3 linked regions of the Lepisosteus oculatus genome follow. The main gene of each other region encodes a partner of the protein of the gene in region 3 in a complex. Links are inferred from orthologs where the notes say so. Each region holds a gene or a part of one and is shown on either strand. Other genes may lie near its edges. The genes, in order: cfap276, pierce1 and tubulin alpha-1A chain.

Region 1 (7,362 bases), on a different chromosome or scaffold from region 3:
GAAGCCTGTCCTGGCAGGTAAGCGGAGGAAGGCAGGATACATCCTGGACAGGACGCCAGTCCATCACAGGGTACACACACAAGGCGCAAACACACTCACACCAGGGCCAGTTTGTCCAGAAGCCCGTTAACTTACCCGTACGTTTTGGGGGCTGTGGAAGGCAACTAAAGCACCCGGAGGAAACCCACAGGAACACAGAGAGAACATACAAACTCCACACAGACAACATGTCAGTTCAGGAATTGAGCTAGGAATTGAATTGCTAGGCAGCAATGCTAATCACTCTACCATCGTTCTGTCCTGCTTCTGAACTAATTTCTCTTCAATGAGTTTTTCTTCACCCAGGAGGACAAGGAAACTTGTGTATCATTCTTAAAAAAACAGAGGGGCTTCATACTGAAACGAGGGCCATCTTTCAAATCCTCAAATAGAGGCTCACACCAGGCACAGGTTCAGCCTCAGCTAAGAGAGGGGGAGTGGGATAGGAGGCACTCCTTCACTGTGAAAGAGCAAAGTGTTCATGCCAAATAAGACTGTCTGCCACATCAATCATCAACTCACTTGCATCTCTGAAGAGTAGTTGTACTAAGACTTAAATTTGCAGGTTTAGTGCTCTGAATGTTGCTTTTTTCCCTCAGCTTTGTTCTTCACAGAACTGGTACAGCAGAAATGCTGCCACACCTAAGAAGGATGAGCACCTCCAGTCCTCAAGGGCCACGTAGTGTTTTGGTTATTGTTCCACCTCTCATTGGATTGAATTTAATTAATTATTTTGATTAAAGTCATGCCTTTCCACTGCCCTAAATAATACATTTCCAATGAATAAGGACCCATAAAAGCTGCAGGGATCCTGCCTTTGGGGAATGGAATTGCACATCCCTGTCTCAGTTTAACACCCCTGTTTGGCTTAACATCCCGATGGGCTCTCAGTTTAATCATTTGCTCCGTCAGCCTTCCTTAATCAGTTTCAGCTCTTGTAAAACTTGAAAGCAAAGATCTCATGTTTCTAGTAAGATGGTGAGAGATTGCTTGAAGCCTTCCAACACTGAAGAGCTGAAAATGAAAAGGTCAGGATACAGAATGCACTACATTTGATTAAGCGGACAAGAATTCAGCTAGAATAAAAACGGCACATTAGAAGCCAGATTGATCTGCCCTGCCTCACAGAAAGCTATCTTATAGCATTTTTCAGGGCTGCCACTATGGCTTTTGGCACTAGTCTTTGACTTTATTATACCAACATTATAATAATAATAGCTTACATTATATAGCACTTTTCGGGACACTCCACTCAAAGAGCTTTACAGGTAATGGGGACTCCCCTACACGACCACCAGTATGCAGCCCCACCTGAATGATGAGACAGCATTTATAGTGTGCCAGTACCCTCCCCACACACCAGCTATCAGTGGGGAGGAGAACAGAGTGCTGAAGCCAATTCATAGATGGGAATTATTAGGAGGCCAATGGAAAATTTGGCCAGGACACCGGGATAACACCCCTACACTTTTTGAGAAATGCCCTGGGATGTTTAATGACCACATAGAGTCAGGACGTCTGTGCTACATCTCATCCAAAGGACAACACCCTTTTTACAGTATCGGGTCTCCATCACTATACTGGAGATATTAAGATTCACACAGACTGGAGGGTGAGCGCCCTCTGCTGGCCCCACTTGCACCTCTTCCTGTCTCCTAGCTATAATTTATGATTAGTCTCTAGAGGAGATGCACACAAGCATGTAAAAAATATAGATTTTAGTTAAGTGCCACTTTTCTCACTTAAAACCTCGCAGTCGGTGGCTGATTGGATCTCCTGGCCACTGTGATCTCACCCGTGGTCTTCAGTGAATGTCTCTCTCTGGTACAGGGTCTCGTTCTTGTCCTTCAGGAACTCCTCGTGGTGGTCGTACAAGGATTTCAGCTGGAAGTCCAGCCTGTCCTGCGGGACCTAGGGGGCAAAGACAGAAAATGCATTTTCAGAGAAGCTGATCGCTGTGCTTGTGCAGCCCCATGGTTGAGCATTTTAGTAACCATGATAACCATCCATGATCAGAAAGTCTTGTTTTTCACCCTAGACAGGACATCAGTGCATTGCACTGTCCATACACACAATTTATAGACCACTTAACCGAAGGATCCAGAAGATATTACAGCCTTTAAATCATAAATGGATGAAGACCGGGAGCAATTTATGATCAATTTAAAAAGCAGTCAGTCAGAGATCATCAGGAACAGAACAATATCTCCCAGCCCTTGAGGACCAGTGTTCACCTCAAGTAGTCTCACTTGTTTAGTTCATCAGTAGCTCAAACAAGTGTTCCTGCTCTATACAGACCCAAGAGTTAGTCTAGCCCCACACGTCTTTAAAAACTGTAGCACCTGGAGGAAACCGCCATAGACATGAACATGCAGACTCCACACAGAAGGGTACACTAATCCGGGATGAAATCCTATGATGCAAAATGCATTCATGTGACTATATTTTCATTCAGACTGCACGTGTGTGATTCTTACCTCTGGATCGAAATACAGGACCTCTCTTCTGGCGCTGGACAGTGTAGCTCTGGCGTTCAGACGATTCCAGGGGTCTTCGTTCTGTGCCAGGTGAGTGGGTTTCGAGTAGGGCACCTTCTGAAGGAACAAGGTAGAGAGAGCCTGTCAATACTTTATCTCCCACTGTATAGATTAGTCCTTTGGTAAAACAAGTTCAAATTTCAGATCCTTCTATGATTTTTTTTTGGAAATAAGCTTTTCTATTAAATATACTTGTTTTTGTAGACATTTGTTATGACAATTAAATTAAAAACCGATTATGTTTAGTTATTTTGTCAACATGTACCCTATCTTAATACAACGCATTTCATTGTTGTGCAGAGAACATATGGTTTTTATTATTAAAAAGCGAAAAACGTTTGCACGTTGTGTTTTACCTGACAGTTCTTCGGTTTACCGATAAAGGTGTCGTCGTTTTCATATTTTGGGTACGGAAAGGGGTCTCGAGATCGTGGCATCTCTAGATGCGGCAGAACTTTCTGTACTTTTCCTACAGGACACTCAGACTGTGTACACTGGCCACTGGGGTTGCTAGGAGACCCACTGTGACGTGTCCTTTGTCACTTTCACACGTCACTTGACCCGTCGAACGTCATCTCTTCTCGATGCGGAGGGGATTAATAAGAACTTTTATTTATTAAGCGACTTTCCAAACCCAAGGACGCTGTACATAATGATAGAGATAAAAAGAGAAAACAATACAATAAGAAGTAAATAAAATGAAGCAGGAACATACATTTTTGGATAAACTGTAAACCAATCAGATTTAGGTCCTAGTAAAAAGGTGAGTTTTAAGTTTAGATTTGAGAAAGAGTCAATGAATTTGCCTCTCGAAGAGTCGGAGGAAGGGCATTCCATAACAATGGAGCAGTGACAGAAACATGAAGGAATTAAGAGAAGTGTGATGAAGCCAGACTGTTCAGAGCCTTATGAACAGTAACAGGAGCTTACATTGTATACCTGACTATATAGGCCCGGGAAGATAAAAATACACAAATGAGCAATTAAGAAATAAATGCGTTGATAACTAAGTATTGAGATACGTGTATGTCGGTTTAGACATGGATTTTGTAATATACCTTTCGATATGTAATTCTATACACAGCAATGCATTTATTTACACATTAACTAATTTCTACATCTAAACCAATTTAAACTAACCAACCAGTTACATTTAAACCAGTAGTAACTGGATTAATGATGCAGTTTCTTTCTTATTAACAGGAGACCATCATTAATAAACGAGTAGGTAGCTGCGTCACCATATGTAAGACGCAAAGGAACAGGTTAAAGTTTATTCCATGCTGAAAATGCGGGAAAGAGACACAAAGTTTCGGCTGTGAAGCCTTCTCAGCAGAGAAATAAATTCAAACCAATGTTTTGTTTTGTTTTTTCAATATCGGCACCGTTTATAAAGGGAAGATGGGTTGATTCTGGACCTGGGGTTTGTTTTAAAACCTAGCGAGTGTAACATTCCTATAAAATAGACAGACAAACACACAGGATCCCATCTGGGAGCTCTTGTGCTAACGAACCTGCTGGTAGAGGATGTTACAAACGCTAATCTTAATCTGTAATCCTGTCATATTTTTTTAGACCGTGGATTTAAGAAACTAAAACTAACTACAAAATAGGCTGTCTTGGGTGGAGAACCTGCTGTAAACCCCGGGTATTGTGAAACGTATTTGAGATCTACACCTGTCCTTGTTAACACAAACACGAGTTTTGAATTGCAGTTAGCACAGAGTCTTCGGTTTATTTTGAATGGAGCTATTGATTCCGACGGGTGTGTGTGCTGTTAGCTCAGACAGGGCCTCAGTGGAGAATTTGAAGAGTGGGCGCCTGGAAGTCTGAAGCGGTTTTTAGTAGGACTTTGAGAGCGACTGCTTAATTTCTGTTTCTGCCCTGGGAGGCCCGAGAGCCCTGGGTCTATACTGTCAGGTGGTCGCTGTGGTTTGTGTCCCCAGTACACTGTCAGGATGGGCAGAGTTTCAGGTCAATGTCCCATAGCGCAACACTGACCCATTAAACGCACATCAGAAGCTGCTTAGGCATCGAGGAAATGACACTTGGGATTCTGACAAGCGAATTAATCCGGTTTTAGCGGCGGAACTGTAGCGCAGTGGTTAGTGTTCCGGCTGCAGTGCTGGGGCCCGGGGTTCAGTTCAGAAAATGGGGTGATTTCTGTGTGACTTTTGTATGTTTCCTCCGGTGCTCTGGTTTCCACCCACGGTCCAAAAATTACTGGAAGGTTGATTGGCTTCTGGGAAACTGGCACTGGTGTGAGTGTCTGTGTGTGCCCCTAGATGGGCTGGCGTCCTGTCCGGGTTCTACCTGGCTCTGGCTCCCCCGCGACCGTTAATCGGTTAGAAAATGGAGGGACGGAAATGTATTAATGGATCATTTTAGTTACTTCTTGATTCGTGAAAATAAGATTGGCATTTTTAGAAACATAACAAGCAAATGTATTGTAAAGTACAGTGGCAGACTGTAGCAACAGTCAATTGGTAAAATTAAGTCTTACCAATTAAAATATGAGAGATTGACTACAAGGCGGGTTGCCTATTGTTATGTGGTAAATCCGGGCACAGTAGGTGGCGCGCCTGAAAAGGTGGAAACGCCTCATTCCCACCTGTGCTGCCTGCGGCTTCGGCACTTCCCGTGTCCGCCGAGTGGCGGCAGAGAGCCGCAGTGCCGAGGTGTGTATATAATGAGCCATGATGGCTATTAAACAGGCGCTCAGTCAGTAGGAAGAGCATCCGGGAGCGCTGGGACATCAGTATCTTCCCATCGCTTTCATCGGCTGTCACTCTCACTAGAATCCCAGGCACAGCGCCTAGTACCTCAGTGAAGACAGACAGGATGGGCTTAAACGGTCTATTTTCAAAGACGTGGAGTCTTCCGACCTGCCTCCTGGTCTCCAGCTACCTCTCTGTGTGGATTGTGTCTGTCCCAGGGGGGACAGCGCAGGAGAGACAGCTGCCCATGTGTAAGGAGGTAAGGACCCATCCGAGACGAACGCTCTGAATGGGTTAGATATATAAAAACCGGCTCTGAAAGACTGGGTCTTTGGGGCTCAAACACTACCCCAGCTTTTACAGGGCTGTCGTTTTGTACGTGGAAAAAAAAACACCTGTTGAAATAGTCATTTTCCATATTCGTTTACTCAAGTGCCTGAGGAAATTGATGAGACACCTGGACAGGTGTATGCAGAGCCATATGCTGTCGCTGTGGTTTTGCATTTTATTTTAATCAAGTATAATCAACAGGTATCATCTTTAGGCAGCATGTATGTGCATCCTAGGTCTGAAAACACTGGCGGTACAGTAGTCTGTTTAAAGAGCCCATGCAGTGTCTCGAAAGACAGGCTGTCGACAAATTTTAAAGCCTTACCGCTTTCAAACCTCCTGAGAAAAATAGTTCTTGTTTCACAATAGATTTCTCTTTGTGAGAAATGCTTTAAAGAATCTCTATTTCTTATTCGAGAAAAGGGTACCACGATCTCTATTAAACCTTTATTAACTATATATTAATCATGATTAATTTTAGTAACCCATACAAAATCGAGGATTACAGTGAAATTGCCTTTAATGAATGTGTTCTCCAAAGAAACAGATGGTGCGAGGCAGGTGTACGCGCGTTGTCAGATGGACCTTCAGTTGGAGTGCAGTTTGACATTAACCAGAGTGAAGTTAAAGATGTTATATTTTCCTTCCTTATAATTCTTTCAAAAAATGGAACAAAACACGTTTTCTGCAAATGAAAATTCTAAATTCTAAATCCTAAAACTCACAGCAGTCTTTTGTGCAAAGCGCCTTTTCGAAGAGGACTCCCTAAGGGAAACACAATACAGCAAACGATCAGTTTCTATTTCTTTATTTCTTTCTATTTCTAAGTACCTGTGTAGTAGGTACTTAGAAATAGATGTGTAGTACCATCTCAAATTAGTTTGTAATAAGTAGTGTAACAGTGGGGCAATTTAAAACTACAGTGGGACTGACAGATCTATAAATACATACAGTTCTGTAAATCGGTTTGCTCGCAGGGTATGTGAAAAAAACGATTAATCTGCAAGAGAATCTAAACTACCCTTAAAACAATCTGAGTCATTGGATACATGAATTGGAATAGGTATTTTTTAAGTCTTTATAATTTACATATGTTTGTTTTAGGAATTAACTTATAACCTTGGTTTGGATCCAGGGTGCCACATCTGTAACTGAAATTCTGAAGAGGTTACAGTGGGGTTCTGCGTTACCCTACAGCCTGCAAAATAACCAGCAGAGGTCAATTCCATACTGAAAAGTAGAAATAAAGAACCCAGATTTTTTGGCTGTTGTGCCTTCTTCATTAGAAGGCTGAGGAGCCATAGTTTTTCTTTCTATGTTTAAATCAGTTTGAGCTCATCTTGTATTAATGCTTATGTGATAATGGTACTGCTGGGCTCAGTGGTTAGCATTGCTGCCTTGTACTGTGGTGGCCCTGGGTTCAGTTCCTGAGGTGCTGTCTGTGTGGAGTTTGCATGTTCACCCTGTGTTTGTGTGAGCTTCCCCTCATCAAACCTCATCAAGTTTAATTAGGGTCTCTAAATCCTGCCTGTGTGGATGCATGCTCTGTGCTGGACTGGTCCCATCCAAAGTGTATTCCTGCCTTTTATCCTACATTTGTTGGATAAGATCCAGGTGGCCGTGGCCCTTATTAGTAACTTCCATCAGTGCATTTTCTAACTTCTTCTCCCAGTTCATGGTCGCGTTGGAACCAGAGCGTATCCCGGCAGGCTATTAGTAATGCATTTCTGTTAGATGTG
Region 2 (7,215 bases), on a different chromosome or scaffold from region 3:
CCAAGTAGGAGACTATTACAACACAACATATCAACGGAGGTACTTCATTAAATTTTATTAACACAATGAACAATGTTAACTTCATCTCCAATAATAATGTTGATGAAATCACACAACTATTCTAATGCAGTGGTCAGACAGGCTCTTGATGAAATTGCCCCGTTAAAGACTAAGGTAGTCAAAGCCACTAGTCACTCTCCATGGTATAATGATCACACACAATCCCTTAAACAGGAGTGCCGCAAACTAGAGTGCAAATGGAGGTCTACTGGTCTACAAGTATTCAAGTCAGAATGGATAACAATATAAGAAAGACCTATATAGAGCTTGTTTGGTCTACTACTCTGAACTTATTGAAACCAATAAAATTAACCCTCGCTACCTATTTAAGACAATAGCTTATCTTACAAATAAGACCGATTCTATAGTTTTTGGTTCCTCTCCTCCATTGTCTTCTGGTCTTTTCTGTTCTGTATTCACATGTATGCTTTGTTGAGTGCCTTGTTGCAACCTTGTTCTGAAAGGCACTATATAAATATTAATTGAATTATCAAAAAAGATTTCACAATATTAATGTACAGCCTTTCCATTGAAATTTAACCAGAGCTATTTTTAAAATTCAAATAGTTTTAAGCCATCAGATCCAGTCATACATCCACCTGAAAAGTTACATGTGGGGTACTAACCATGAGAAACAGATACTGTACTGTCATAAAGGTTCAAATATTTTTTATGGTACTTTGTTGCCTTTCACAGTCTTTACAACATTAGATGCAGCTCTTAAGGCTGCTGTTTTCCAAGTTTGAATAAATGGCAGACAATTTAGCTTTGTGGACCATTTATTGATTGCAGAACACCAGTTATGAAACCATAAACAGAAATACAAAAGTGAAGTATTCTGGATTCCTAAAGAAACTTTCTGAAAGGAACATTGCAAACAAAAAAAGAAAGAATATCACATTATTAAAAAACATACTTATATGCAGAAAGGGGGGACAATGTACATAGATGCAAAGGGCAATGCCAATGTCAATTGATACAATCTAAAAAACAATTCATAGATCATGGACTTTGATTACTCAGACTATGGAGGAGTTCCATTTGCCTCCTTTTGTCCTTGGCTCTGTTGATAGTCATTCTGAAGAGCTTGCAGTAAAGCTCTATACTTGCTGGCGTATCATCATTCCCAGGGACGGGGTATGTGATCAGACTGGGATTGCAGTTGGAGTCCACAATGCCCAATGTAGGGATGTTCATCTTGGCTGCGTCACGGATGGCCACATGTTGCTGAAAGACATTGTTGAGTGTGCTGAGGAAAATAATGACGTCAGGCAGCCTCACACCCTTCCCATACTGGACTGGGGCATTAGTAAGGAGCCCCCCCTGCCAGTAACGGGTGTGAGCATACTCGCCACAGTCCCTTGCCATTTTCTCGATCAGGTGGCTGAACTGTCGGTTGCGGCTGATAAACAGAATCACCCCCCCACGATATGCCACATGCGCAGTGAAATTAAGTGCCTGCTGTAGGTGCTCCACTGTTTGGTCGAGATCAATGATGTCCTGCTCCAGACGACAGCCAAATAAATAAGGTTCCATCAGCCTGTGGAAAAAAAACACAGGAAAGTGGTGAAGAACATTCTACACTGCAAAAAGATTTCAGTTTCTGACTTTCTCAAGAATATTATTTTAAATATAATGCAACTAAAAATGTTTTAAAATGATAAGTCTTTTTTTATAATTATTTCACAGAACCCATAACCTACACAAGTATTCCAAAAGTAATGGTACAGATACACAATTTTGAACATTAGTTTGATAATTGTTTGTCATTTTTTAAAGCAGCAAAGTTTGTTGACTGTCAGACTGTAACCCTTTTGCAGCAAAAACAGGATTGGTTTCAGTTTGTAGTTTAGATGGGCCAACTCTTGGATCCAGAAAAACTTGACATTTTAAGTGAAAAATAGAAACTAACAAGGAAAAGAGTAAGCAACATGTTGCCTTGTCCAAGTAAATTAAGGATTGCTGTTAAACAAACACATGAAAGGCTAGAAGATAATCTTGTTTGACTTTCAATAAAGGTACAGTACAACCTCTCAGAAATATAAAACGGAATCACTGAGATATACCTGGAACCCCTGTAAATGTCAAAGTAAAGGTGACTTCAAATATATAAATCCAGCTAAGGCTACTCCTGAAGGATTCATTTTCATTACCTGTGTCTACAGCCTCTTTTGTGACCCAAGTGAACTCTGGCCTCAAAAAGATCCTTCAGAGAGAACAGCTCTGATACACGAAAGAAGTCAGGATGTTTCAGGGGCTCTGTTAATAATTTCTCATTTCCAGCTACAGAAAACACCAAAAAGGAGAAAAACAGACAATTTATGTAAGGCCAGTTTCAATAACTATTATTGATACCATTAATCTGGGTGTACAACATTTCATTATTTTAGCAATTATCTAATGACACCAGTTTTCATTTTTTCAGCATGTAAACATTATAGTTCTAAATTTATATATGTTTTTTTTTCCATAAAAAGGATCATATATTGTACTCTGTGTCGAGGGAATCGTAACAACAAGCGTTGAGAAATCGGCTTACCTGAACTGTCAGCATGAGTCTGGTGAATCTGCAGAGCTGCAGTACCATATAGACGACCTAAGATACCCGATGACCCAGGCGCCACCCCACCCGCTAGGCCGGGACTCCCGAGCCTGGGAAAAGCTGAAAGACAAAAAACAGTTTCAATCATCAGTTCTTATTCTAATTAATACTTACATAAAGTAAGCTTAAATGTTTGTATGAAACACATATTGTGTGTGCCCAGTTACTGTGCTTTGCGTTAAATATATTACAATTTACAATAACGCTTTGTTATTTCATATTCGTACAAAACTTAATTGATCAACAGAATATGGTTTAGTGTTCAAGGTTACAAGATGTAATACATTGCTCAAGGGAAAGGTTCGGATTTACACTTACATGCCCTATAATAAAGTCACATTACAACTACGTCGTACTGCGACGTTAAAAAGTATATTATCATATCCTTTAAACACATTTAAGTACACACCTGAAAAAACGTCTATTCTTTTGTGTTTGAAAGAGGATTACAATTTGAACATTGTCGTTGCTACAAATGAACACCAATTAAACTCACCTTTTCTCAGTAAACCTGCAGCCATGCCTACTTATTCCTCCTTGTAGAGGTCAGAGGGTATTTTCAAAAAACTTTATTAAAATCAAGTGATTTTTTTAAGTCCAGCGTCTCCAGAGTTATGCTGTCCTCTACTGGTGTGGCTATGAATAGCCATCTCTATAAACTCAGCAGTTGCAAAAATGTGATTACCGTTTGAGCATCGTATACCATATACATAGGAACAAGTAATAGGTTTATTCCATGCTGAAAAAAAGAAGAAAGAAAACACAACGTTTCGGCCGTGGAGCCTTTTTCAGGTTGCTCACATCTGAAAAAGGCTCCACGGCCGAAACGTTGTTTTGTCTTTCTTCTTTTTTTCAGCATGGAATAAACCTACTTGTTCCTTTGCAGCCTACGCATGCTGACGCAGCTACCCACCTGAACTACCATATATATCAATTAACACGCGCCTTAGTGCCCCTGTCTTCTTAGTAATATGATAAATATGTTTCCTTGTTAATTGTGTATCGTAGATACAAGAATGTTATAACGACACTTCCTACTCATTAAAAATAGGTTGTTAATACGCACATCATCACATCATTGTATTTTATTATATTTGTGTTGTATGACGAAAGAGATCAGCTAATTCTTAACGTCATCCGTTGAACGGTTTTATATACTTACTAACAGCTAACACTAAAGGTGATATATGTCATAATAGTTGCCAGTTTCTCGAGGATTCACGGAATGCTTTGGATTAAATACCTTTATTAAGGTAATCCTTCTAAGGATTTGGCGCACTTAAAATTACCAGCGAGGGTCTATATTAATATTTATGTTTTGCACTATGCTACCTTGCTAAGGAAATGAATGAATCCTGCTTTGCAATTAACATGGTATTGACGACTCCTCTATCAAGTTTTATCTCTCGGGTTCAAACAGTGTGGACAATCTTGTGGCGATCCATTGAATGTATCACTTACCAATTATCCTACGTTACCAGGTTACTGTGTCTTAGCAACCGATTGTTTGTCAAGGAGAACTTGAACTGCATATTTCCTGGTGGACGAAGGCTCCCACAACTTTCCATCGTTTGTTATCACTGAGCAAAACATGGAAAATACAACACACACAGTGGAAGAAGCTAACAGAGTCTCCATCAAAACGAGCGATGTGTACAAAGTGCAAAAAAATCTGCCGAAAAGATTTGATAACCCCGACTGGTTCCAAGGGTACAGGTGAGCCCGTGTTCTTGATACTTACATTTTTAAATAGTGTAATTTAAATGCTTGTACTTAGCTAATAAAGTGAAAAGTAAGAGTTTTAAAGCACTCATTTATAGTTTCCATACTGTAACAATCCATTTCAGAGAGAAGCCACGTAACCCGCTATACAGGACAACGAATCAAATTTACGGGGGCAAGAGACCCACTGTACATGAAATGCCAGTAAGTTGAAAATTACCGTCCTTTATCAATCTGATTGTCAGACATATATTTATTAAAGTATTCAGCATTGCTTTTACTATTCAAATAATGTTTTGTCTGAAGAAGCACCGTTTAATTCAGAGTAACCTTATTTCAGAAGCATGACTAGTATAAAGACATACACAGTACTTCTCTGTTCTGGTAAGCTGTAGATTGGTATCTGGCAAAGGTCTCGACTGATCAATTATCATATTTCGCCTGGTGTAAGAGATTCAAAAATAGTTTATTATTATGGTCTACTATGAGATTTAATCAACAGCAAACTTGGCACAGCTTGGTGAGGTTATCTAATACATGGATATTAAACAGATAATAAACAGAATGAATGCAAAACTGAGATTTCAGTTGATCTTTATATAGGCAGGCCTGCTCCTTAAAATGTAGATTTAAACATTTGAATGTTTGCTATAAACTATTCGTGCCAGAAATAACATTTAGCATAATGTACCAATTTTATATAAAATAGAACCCTGCATTTTATTTTATCTCTAAATGAACCAGGTAAGTAAATTAAGAATAAATTCTGATTTGCAATGACCATCTGAAGACCCATGTAAACAGCTGGGCACTTAGCATTTTTAATGAAAAACTTTGCTCGAGCATACAAATATTTTAAAAAATTAGAACAGCAGGCACAAACTCTTTTACAAAAAGGAATCTGAAACAAGCTAATCAGCCATGTTTCTGGAGTCAGTAGTCTAGCTTCCTTTCAGAAATGGTTGAATGAGATACATGGACCAATAAGATACTAGCAACCAAACAAGCTTGACGAGCTGAATAATATCCGCTTATTTATAGCCATTTTCATGTTCTTATAGCAGCATCCTACCCATGGTTGGAATTTGTGACAATTCCCACTCGAGATTCCTAACCAATACCCTGTATTTCCAGATAACAATAAGCTTTTTCAATACACTTTCAAAATTTAACCCTGAGTTAAATATGGTAATGTGTGTTAAGTTTATATTTGAAATCTACATCTAAGAAACCTCTCTTTCTTTTTCCTAATAGACCACTTTTAATGGGAGTACTCGGCAGTTTACAGAATACCTAAGTAAATGTGGAATGTACAAAGACAATGGCTTCAACACATCAACTGAGAAAAGTTATGTGACTGGACCTAACAACCTCATTACATTTCATGACAGACTGAATTTTCAAACTTCCTATAATATGAATGGACCTTCTCACACTGGGTAATTCATTCAAAACTGCTAGTAACACAATTAAACATTTATTCAGTGATATTACTGACCTTCTCAGATTTCAGTCATATAATGGGTATTCAATGCGATGTTTTAAAATAATTTTTGTTTCCCTTTTAATTTAGTTCCAATGGAAATGCCATGTGCTAATAAAAAGTCTCACATGCTGAAATAAAATATCCTTTATTTTATATTACATAAAAGTGATGGTAAACATTGGAACAGTTCTGTAAAAACACTTGGAAGGCAATTACTGTGAATTGTAGATCTAAGAAACAACATCTGTATCTGTTTACAGAGACATCACAACATTCTCCAAATAAGTTCCTCTAAACTTATTTTTGTTAACAGCAAGTTAGAACAGATGGTTTTGAAAAACATCTTGAAATTGTCTGTCACAGCAAATTTTAAACTGCAGTCTTATCAAAAACACAATAATAAATACAAATGTTAAATATGAAAAAAGTAAACCAGAACTCACAATTTTAGTTAAAGGTATCACAGCAATTAAGGCAGAAGTAATTAACATAACTCCAAAACCCTTTGAAAATATATATGATATCCCTTAATTATGCTATTTTGTCATATGCTGCAGTTTGCAGTTTTTGGTAGGATTTCAGAAAACAGTTATTTCAAGTACAATAGAAACCCAAGCAACTGTTGGGGACTATTAAATTCTCTAATGGAATCTGAGATTACAAATACAAAAAACCTCTGAAGATGAGGAGCAAGTTCAACTTCATATTCAAAATATAAACAATGTTTATATATTTTTTTCTAAGTAAACAGGTGTTTTACAACGTTTTAAATGAAAATGCCTGGGAGGAGTAAACTTGGATATGTAAACTGGAATTCATTGCCTTTTGTTTTTTATGTGCTGACTGATTCAAGATTTTAGTCATATCTGGACAATTACCCTACCAGGGACAGAATACCTTACACAATTGAAGAATTTGTTGTTAATTTTTTGTTCTCTAGATGTGATGCTAGTTGGTTTAGAAGATTCTATAGGTAATGGAACAGACCAGTTAGGAGTTTTGATATTTATTTTTCTAACAAACTAATAGTGCTAATATTTTTCCTTTTTATTAAGATCCATCTTTTATTTTATCCAGGTATATTAATTGTATCCTCCATGTTCAGCACAACAATTGCTGTTATTTATTAAAACCAGTTTCATTAAAACAATCAAAATGATGTGTGGTTGATTTATGCTAAACAAAATCTATAACATTATTCCTTCCCCAGTGTGCTTCTCCTAAAAAACAATTTAGAAACAATCAACATCGCAGTTAACACAGAGTCTGATGAATGCTCATATAAATATAAAAATGTAGCATGTAAAAGCAAATTATAAGCCTATGGTGATAGACCTATGTGGTC
Region 3 (7,517 bases):
ATGTCAAATTGACTGTTCAAGTACTAGTTTGTTTGGAGTTGCCAATGCATCAGTTGTGATTAAACAGACAGCTGCCCCCAAAACAAAGCCAGTCTCTATAGATTTCTTTCCATGACACTGACACTTCTATAGACACCTTTTCAGGGACACTGATAAAGAAATGACATTCTTCAGGAAGGCAGCGACAAGACCGCTGTATTGGCAGACTGAATGTCAGTTATGGGCCAACACCACTGACAGACTCCGACTGGTTTTCCTTCTCTCCACCATTGCCGACTCCAGGGCCAGAAGCCCAGAAGCTCTGGCTCTGGGATTGACTGAAATCCACAGCTGAGCAAGGAGGACTGAGGGATAACATAACATCACTTTATTAGCCCTATACAATTTCTTGCATTAGGAATTTGTCTTTTTGCATACCCCAGCTTGCTCTCCATGAGTACCCCTGGAGCAGTTGGGGTTAAGGGCCTTGCTCAGGGGCCCAACGGAGTAGGATTCCTCTGCTGGCCGCAGGATTTGAACCAGCAACCTTCCAGCCACAGGCACAGATCCTTAGCCACAGAGCCACCACTCCGCCCTTATCACTCAGTGATAATGAGTGACCACTGAGTATCAATCACACAGCCAGCTCCTGTCCGGGAACCCTTTTACACAAGGCAGGTTTCCGTCTAAATGCAGACATTTTAAAAAACATTTTGCACAATTAACAAATCAGAAGGTGAATCCGTGGTTGGTATGTACTGTCAGTTAGTGACATTTTTGGCTTCAACAGATTTACAAGACATAACACGTGAAGGGTGATCTATGAGACCCGCTGGACTGTGTCTCTGCAAGGCCAGTGCTGATGCCATCTTTGAATTAGGCTGTGAGAGGGAGAGAGCACAGTAACGCCAACGCCACAAGCTCAGCAATGCCTGGCAACAGAAGGGCATATTACAAGACACCCACTGACATGCCAGACAGCTTCAGCTTGTACGGTTTGTAGAAACACCATGCAATTAGTAACAGCTGTGGGACAACAAGGTACAAAATAAATGAAACTGTGAATTCCAAACATGAAAACAATCACTTTAAAAGCCCAGATCTGGTGTGTGACTGGAGAGGGTCAGGAGTATGTCAGGCTATGTCTTGGGCGTTCTTTTCCTTTCCTATTCCTCTGCGCTACGTGTGAAACATGTCACAGGACTCCTGTCCCTTCTCGCTGGTGTAGGATGGTCAATGTGAGGAGCTCTGCCAGGGTGAGGGCGCGATGGGAGTGTCTTTATTTCCTCCGCCGAAGCTGCCCCCACCTCTCCTCATCTGCACTGTCATTCAATATCGGCCACGTGACCCACCGACTGCTAAAAGGGGGCTTTATGAAGCCTGATGTAGCATCTCCTGGGCTCTTACTGGTATCCTAGCAACTGAGCTATTCATTGCCTAGCAACTACAGGATACTGAGAAGGGGGCTAGGGGGTAGCCTTTCTCCTTCTTTGACTTTGTGTGTGCTGGGGCAAGATGGTCCAGACTGGCAGCCGGCCCTCTGGGTGCTGAAGAGATGGGATGTCATCTGCTTTGAGTAGTGTGTTCCAGACCCCCACAACCTTTAGTGTAAAGAGCTGTCTCCTGTTCTCGGGCGTAAATACACTGCCCCTTAGCTTCCAGAGCCTTTTCAGCAGCTCTGTGTGGTGCAATAGTCAATCAAGATGGGAAAAGACACCCTAAGTAGAAATGGCAGCGGGGAGTGGCTTATGGTAGAGTGATAAAACACAGTGATGAAAAGCAGAAATATTATAATAATCCAGATGAAGTCTGATACTTGTACATGATGCTGCTTAGCTTCAGGGCTTTCATATACAGCACGGGCTGACATGGCCTCCGCAACGTTGGTTTAAATTACTTCCAACTGAAATATTAATGTCTGCATAAATATTTCATCTGTATTGAGGGCTTTCCTAAAGACAAATTGCACCCCGAATCGCACAGTCATTGCAATCTACAAACTGCAGTTCTTTCTGCGATATTCAGGTCGGATTAACCAGTACTTTTCTCCCCAAAGGCGAGACTGGACAGTTCGTTCTAGGGCAAGGGTGGTGTGAAGTACAACTAAGCCAGTGGTACAGCAGTTTTTATTTTTTAGCTCTAAAAAACGTATATTGGAAACATGCAGTGAGCATTACACGTTTGGCTCTCACCCCAGCACATGGGGTGTCTTTGTTACCCGGCACTCGGTAGACACCCGGGAGCAGAGCCGCCACGGGGCCCGCGCTCGCTTCACACTCGGCGCCTTTGTGGCACGGCCGCGCGCCGCCATGGGCGTGCACCTGCGGCGCAGACTCCGCGCTTCTTGCAGAAACATTTCATCAGGAAAACCGCTGTAAAGGGTCCTTTTATAGAAACGTGATCTATATATATAGGGTTTTTACAATCGATGCTGACTGCTGACTTCTGCTTGCTTCAAGGGCAAGATAATGGAGCGCACGTGACGGCTAACGTACGGAAGAGCAGATTTTTATATCGCGACTTTTCTTTTTAATTTAGTGAAACCGATGCATTATAATAGATTTATTATGAAAGAAGAATACGGGAGTGTCTCTAATGAAAAATTGTTGAATTATTAAAAATTATAAACATTAAAAGCTATGGAAATTGGAGCCCAGTCAGAGACAGCGAGGTTTCACGGGAACAAAGGATGGGTAGCCAACTAAACACAGCCATGGGCGTCGCCGAATGTATGAGACTGTTACACCGCACGTTTATCGGGAACAGCAATCCGACAGAGCATGCAGTCATCACGTACAGCGCGCTGTCGCTTAGTCATCATAATTTAATACTTAAGCCCTTCGATCGCCTGTATAATTCAGCTGGTGTGCAGGCTCTTCCTGCGTGCTCCTCCGGCGCGGGCTGTCGGTTGCCCGGTCCTGTGGGAGCCGCAGGTGCGAGGGTGCCGGCTCTGTAGTGGGGGCGGGGCGGGCGCCCCAGATGAAAGCAGATGGCGCGTGGAGGAAGCCGCCTGAAGCCTGGAGCTAATATGCGGATACTGTGGGGGAGGCAACACAGCACATCTTCGGGTCCTGAAATATATATGCACTTAACTAAAGGTTTTATCATTCAGCTTTCTAAAATCGCTAAAACTATACAGATTTTTTTTTAATGAGGTAAGAAACTGCTTCACACCACCAATGTGCAGCAGTGGAGCAGTGGTTCAGGAGAGTCCCCATTACCTGTAGAGCGCTTTGAGTGGAGTGTCCATAAAAGTGCTATATAAGTGTAAGCAATTATTATTATTATTATAAAATGCGCCCAGGATTAGGGCCTACAAAATCTGTATCTGCTGGACTTGTGTGGCTCACAGCCGATGACAAAGTGCATCCAGCAGAACTCACACACATTACACACATTAAATGGGCGTATTTCTTTAATCTTAGATCATCTGTTTTCAGAGAGAGATTCCTGTTAAAAACAATAATCATCTCAGGCCTGCCTTCTGTCAGGCTAAGTGTCTCTGTCAGCCGGGAGCAGATCAAGTCACCGATGGCCGAGTGGGTTTAGTTCAGCGGTGGGTCAGTATGGCTGCGAGGGGCTGGCTACCAGTCCAGAGTGCAGTCGCGCCCCGAGACCCCTGATATCGGGAGCAGCTCGGGTCCTGCGAACGTTGCCCGGAAAGGGTGCTTTTCTGATTACGGGTGGACCTCGTCATCCCTCACGGGAGTCGATTTTCAGCCCCCCACACTAACCCAGAAGGTGACCCCAGGCGGAAGAGGGGCTTGTCCTCTAACATCACCTTTCACCCCCCGCCAGATTAAAGATAACACTGATCTTTTCTTATGATGCATTTTTAAAAAATACTAATGCTTCACGACTTGACACAGTTGAATTACTTCTGTAGGTACTGGGACCCTCCAAGTATTAATTACATATCTCAATTGATAGACTTTCTAATCAGTCATGAACTATGCGTCACGGTCCTGTAGTAATAGTATCACAATTAATTAGTTCAGGTGGGGAGCTGCGTCAGCATGTGCAGGCTGCAAAGGAACAAGTAAAGGTTTATTCCACACTGAAAAGAGAAGAGAGAACATACAACGTTTCGGCTGTGGAGCCAGAAGGAGCCAAAAAGCTCCACAGCCGAAACGTTGTGTTTTCTCTCTTCTCTTTTCAGCATGGATTAAACCTATTGTTCACAATTAATTATACACTTTGCTGATATAAAATATGGCAGAATATCCCCTAAATGCATCAATCCATGTGTATCACTAGTCCTCTTCAGAGATATGCCTCCTCCATTAGTGTTGCTAGACCATGATGAACTGATGCTGTTAATGCTTTACCCAAGTGAGCGACAGATAACTGTTTTCTCTATTGTCCGGACAAGGTGGGGGTCGGCAGGAGGGGCTTGTCCGGCCGGGGTGGTGCCTTAACCAATGGGAAATCAGATCCGCCGAGGTCTCCGGGCAGACAGCAGACACGTCGCCCAATGATAAAATCGCAGGCGCAGTCGCCACGGCAACGCATGTATATAATAAGCCGTTCACACCCATGTGCTTCACGTTCTCTTGCATCGACCTCCTTGCTGTCGGGTTGTGAGAAGACTCTCTGAACGGGCTCTTTCCCCCTCGCTCGCCTGCCAGACAAGAACTCCAGACGGCATAGAAAATGGTAAGGCGAGGGGTTTCACATTTCGGAACAATGGGGTTCCTTTGCTACCTTGCGTGTTGAAAGGAAAATGGTAGTCTGAGCTGTAGAAAGAAAGAGCAGCACTGTGGAGTTTTCTGGAGTGCGCGGCGAGGCTGGCTGTCTTGTCGCTGTAACTTGTCACCCTGCTCAGAGGGGTCCGCTTCATGTGCTGAACAGACGTGGAAGGGGTGGTGGGGGCGGGATTTTTGGAAGGGTAAAGCATTTTCACGACTAGGGCAGTTGCTTTTGTAGAAAATGCATTATAGAAAAAATCCAAATAACGAGATGACGGGGAAACAAGAGTATTTTGACGTACTGCCAGCGGCACACGGAGCTGTCTGAAATTGTGCGATGCCGGAACCCCTCGCCTCTAAGGCTCCAGTAACAATAGACCAGTGTTGGCCTCACTGGCGAGGACTGGGCTATGTGGTCCGAGAAACCCCGTCTCAGACAAAGGCGCACTTGACAGGAATGCGCTGTGAGCGGAATAAATTATCTGGGACACATCTGGGTGTTCCCCGCCTCTCGCAGTAAGACGTCCTGTCACTTCGGATTTTACAACCCCCACGCCCGTCCGTTTCTTGGATAAATCACAGAAATGGGAACGGACAGGTGTGTGTTTTCTATTTTTTTTTAAGTTTGAAGTCGAATGGATGGAGCTGTCGAGGACAACAGAAATGCGAGCCGACTTGGCACGCACTTCATCCGTCAGCGGCAGCGCGGCGCCTGAAAAAAAGACCGAAAGCCGGTTTGTTTTCATGTGAAGTGCTCTCCAGAGCACTAAAATGTCACACAGCTTCCGCTGCGCGTTGTCAGGGCGGCTGTCCGTGTGTCCGTTTCGGACCCCGGGGAGTGCTGTGGCCGGCGCCGAGATGGAGCAGAACCCCAGCGCGCGCCGCCTGGCTCGGGCGCGCGGCGCTCCGAACGCGCCGTCCTTTGTCTGGCGCGCTCTCACCCCCACCCATTATGTGCGTGAGCTCGCGCCAGCCGCCCCGAGCGCCGCGCAGGCTGGATCGTTCCTCCAGAGCTCCAAGCCTTGCACACAGCCAGCCAGCCAGCCAGCGAGCGCAGACTGGTACCCAAACCTTCGTGTTCGACTCTTTCAAGTATTAAGGGTCTTCTGCAGTTCGGCTCCGCTCTCTTGCTGTGCTTTTGTTAACCGGGTCAAGCAATGATTCCATGAAGTAAAAGCAAGGCTCTTTGTCTTGGATGTACAGTAGCATAACTGCCCGACAGCGGTATACATTTTCAGTGAAAAGAGTTGTGGTCCACACTAATATGAAGAGAGTAGCCCACATGGTAACACCTGCTTGTAGACTGTCAAGAGGGCAGGAGGCCTGCTGGAGTTACGATGGAGGTTTTTCCTCAAAGGGCTCATTATTGTGCTGCTCACTAGAGCACAATTCAGTACTGTGGCTGGGAAGGAGAAAAACGAGAAGATGCCTCTTTTTTTATAAAAGAAAACAAAGGATTTAGGTCAAACTACTCGGCAGAAAATCAACTGGGGAAAAAGGGCCAGGCTTTGTAAAGGTCTGTAACTATTAAAGAAAAACGTATTAAGATGGAATCAGTACAGAAATACAGATGAGTTGTTGAAAAACGGCTCTTGCAAGAAGGCCAATCACTAATAAAGAAAAAATAACAGCAGGAAATAATGCTTGGTAATTTGTCAGTAAATACTGGACTGGATTATAAATCAGCCTTTTCTTACACTATTTAAAAGTCCTAAGGCGTCCCTTCTTAAAGTTTAAAGTAAACAGATAAGCGTTTACATTAAAAGGTGAGATTTCTATGGATTTGTCTTTCTGTGCAGAACAGCAGCCTGATCAAAATATTTTAAATACTGAAATAGTGTTAAAATAGTCTAACCGAGGCAGTTAAATCAATGTCATTGATCAAGTAAATTAGAGAGGAAATCAAGATTGATGCATTGCAGGTGGTTGACACTGTATCCAAGCTGAGGTCACAGAAATGAGTAAGTTACAGGATTCTTCCTCTTCTGATCTTCAGCCAGCACAGTTCCTCCTGTTAACTGATCTCTTTCTCTCTTCACAGCGTGAGTGCATCTCCATCCATGTCGGCCAGGCTGGTGTCCAGATTGGCAATGCCTGCTGGGAGCTCTACTGCCTGGAGCACGGGATCCAGCCGGATGGCCAGATGCCCAGTGACAAGACCATCGGAGGCGGCGACGACTCCTTCAACACCTTCTTCAGCGAGACCGGAGCGGGCAAGCACGTCCCGAGAGCTGTCTTCGTAGACCTGGAGCCCACAGTCATCGGTAAGCTCTGCAGGCTGTGGAGTGGAGGGGGATCAGGGCTGTTCCTCTTCCTCCCTGCTCCAGAGCCCCTGAGCTCACAGCCCTTCACCCGTCTCTCCCCAGATGAGGTGCGCACTGGAACCTACCGCCAGCTGTTCCACCCTGAGCAGCTCATCACTGGCAAGGAGGATGCTGCCAACAACTACGCCCGTGGGCACTACACCATCGGCAAAGAGATCATCGACCTGGTGCTGGACAGGATCCGCAAACTGGTGGGTATCTGAATGAATGTTGAACAGCCCAAACCACCCGTGTTAAGAATTAAAAAGATTGAATGGAGAGCACGTCTGTCTTCTGCAGTAGTCAACCAGATGCATCTTCTCTCTCCAGGCTGACCAGTGCACAGGTCTGCAGGGCTTCCTGGTCTTCCACAGCTTTGGAGGTGGTACCGGTTCTGGTTTCACCTCTCTGCTGATGGAACGCCTGTCTGTCGACTATGGCAAGAAGTCCAAGCTGGAGTTCTCCATCTACCCAGCTCCCCAGGTGTCCACAGCTGTGGTGGAGCCCTACAACTCCATCCTGACCACCCACACCACCCTGGAGCACT

What was found.
Region 1: the proteins of tubulin alpha-1A chain (region 3) and cfap276 are in contact, whole or in part, in a cryo-EM structure (PDB 7UNG), measured with the Homo sapiens proteins. The link is inferred for Lepisosteus oculatus from reciprocal best matches to the Homo sapiens genes TUBA1A and CFAP276. Residues at the interface, in NP_001257328.1 of Homo sapiens: Lys112, Glu113, Ile115, Asp116, Leu117, Leu119, Asp120, Arg123, Lys124, Asp127, Arg156, Ser158, Val159, Asp160, Gly162, Lys163, Leu195, Glu196, His197, Ser198, Asp199, Tyr262, Pro263, Arg264, Trp346, Lys430, Asp431, Glu434, Val435, Val437; in NP_001231954.1 of Homo sapiens: Pro43, Trp44, Arg46, Leu47, Asn48, Thr50, Pro51, Thr52, Ile53, Thr54, Ser55, Arg57, Arg58, Ala60, Tyr62, Asp64, Ile67, Pro68, Lys69, Asp70, Asp71, Phe74, Arg75, Lys90, Ser91, Leu94, Leu95, Asn96, Lys98, Thr99.
Region 2: the proteins of tubulin alpha-1A chain (region 3) and pierce1 are in contact, whole or in part, in a cryo-EM structure (PDB 7UNG), measured with the Homo sapiens proteins. The link is inferred for Lepisosteus oculatus from reciprocal best matches to the Homo sapiens genes TUBA1A and PIERCE1. Residues at the interface, in NP_001257328.1 of Homo sapiens: Met1, Arg2, Gln15, Asn18, Ala19, Glu22, Cys25, Leu26, Glu27, His28, Gly29, Ile30, Gln31, Pro32, Asp33, Met36, Pro37, Asp39, Lys40, Asp46, Asp47, Ser48, Asn50, Glu77, Gly81, Thr82, Tyr83, Tyr224, Thr225, Asn228; in NP_001041730.1 of Homo sapiens: Tyr28, Pro35, Gly36, Arg37, Phe38, Trp43, Phe44, Arg45, Gly46, Tyr47, Arg48, Thr58, Ser59, Asn60, Gln61, Ala62, Tyr63, Gly64, Arg66, His71, Glu72, Pro74, Phe77, Tyr78, Pro79, Asn80, Ser81, Asn82, Lys83.

What each region holds. Positions count from the first base shown.
Region 1 is NC_090700.1:30,600,184-30,607,545, reverse strand, and holds the start of cfap276 (cilia- and flagella-associated protein 276), read right to left. Parts: upstream 3,071-7,362; 5' UTR 3,014-3,070; coding exon 2,933-3,013; intron 2,634-2,932; coding exon 2,517-2,633; intron 1,951-2,516; coding exon 1,835-1,950; intron 1-1,834. Other genes in the region: elapor1 (endosome/lysosome-associated apoptosis and autophagy regulator 1), read left to right, coding at 5,418-5,552. UniProt on the Homo sapiens protein: Microtubule inner protein (MIP) part of the dynein-decorated doublet microtubules (DMTs) in cilia axoneme, which is required for motile cilia beating. May play an important role for the maintenance of myelin-axon integrity.
Region 2 is NC_090719.1:5,633,371-5,640,585, forward strand, and holds pierce1 (piercer of microtubule wall 2 protein), read left to right. Parts: upstream 1-4,144; 5' UTR 4,145-4,253; coding exon 4,254-4,378; intron 4,379-4,509; coding exon 4,510-4,588; intron 4,589-5,638; coding exon 5,639-5,827; 3' UTR 5,828-7,026; downstream 7,027-7,215. Other genes in the region: mrps2 (small ribosomal subunit protein uS2m), read right to left, coding at 1,063-1,600, 2,214-2,343, 2,600-2,722, 3,159-3,183. UniProt on the Homo sapiens protein: Microtubule inner protein involved in the attachment of outer dynein arms (ODAs) to dynein-decorated doublet microtubules (DMTs) in cilia axoneme, which is required for motile cilia beating.
Region 3 is NC_090696.1:15,178,715-15,186,231, forward strand, and holds the start of tubulin alpha-1A chain, read left to right. Parts: upstream 1-4,514; 5' UTR 4,515-4,632; coding exon 4,633-4,635; intron 4,636-6,708; coding exon 6,709-6,931; intron 6,932-7,033; coding exon 7,034-7,182; intron 7,183-7,300; coding exon 7,301-7,517. UniProt on the Homo sapiens protein: Tubulin is the major constituent of microtubules, a cylinder consisting of laterally associated linear protofilaments composed of alpha- and beta-tubulin heterodimers.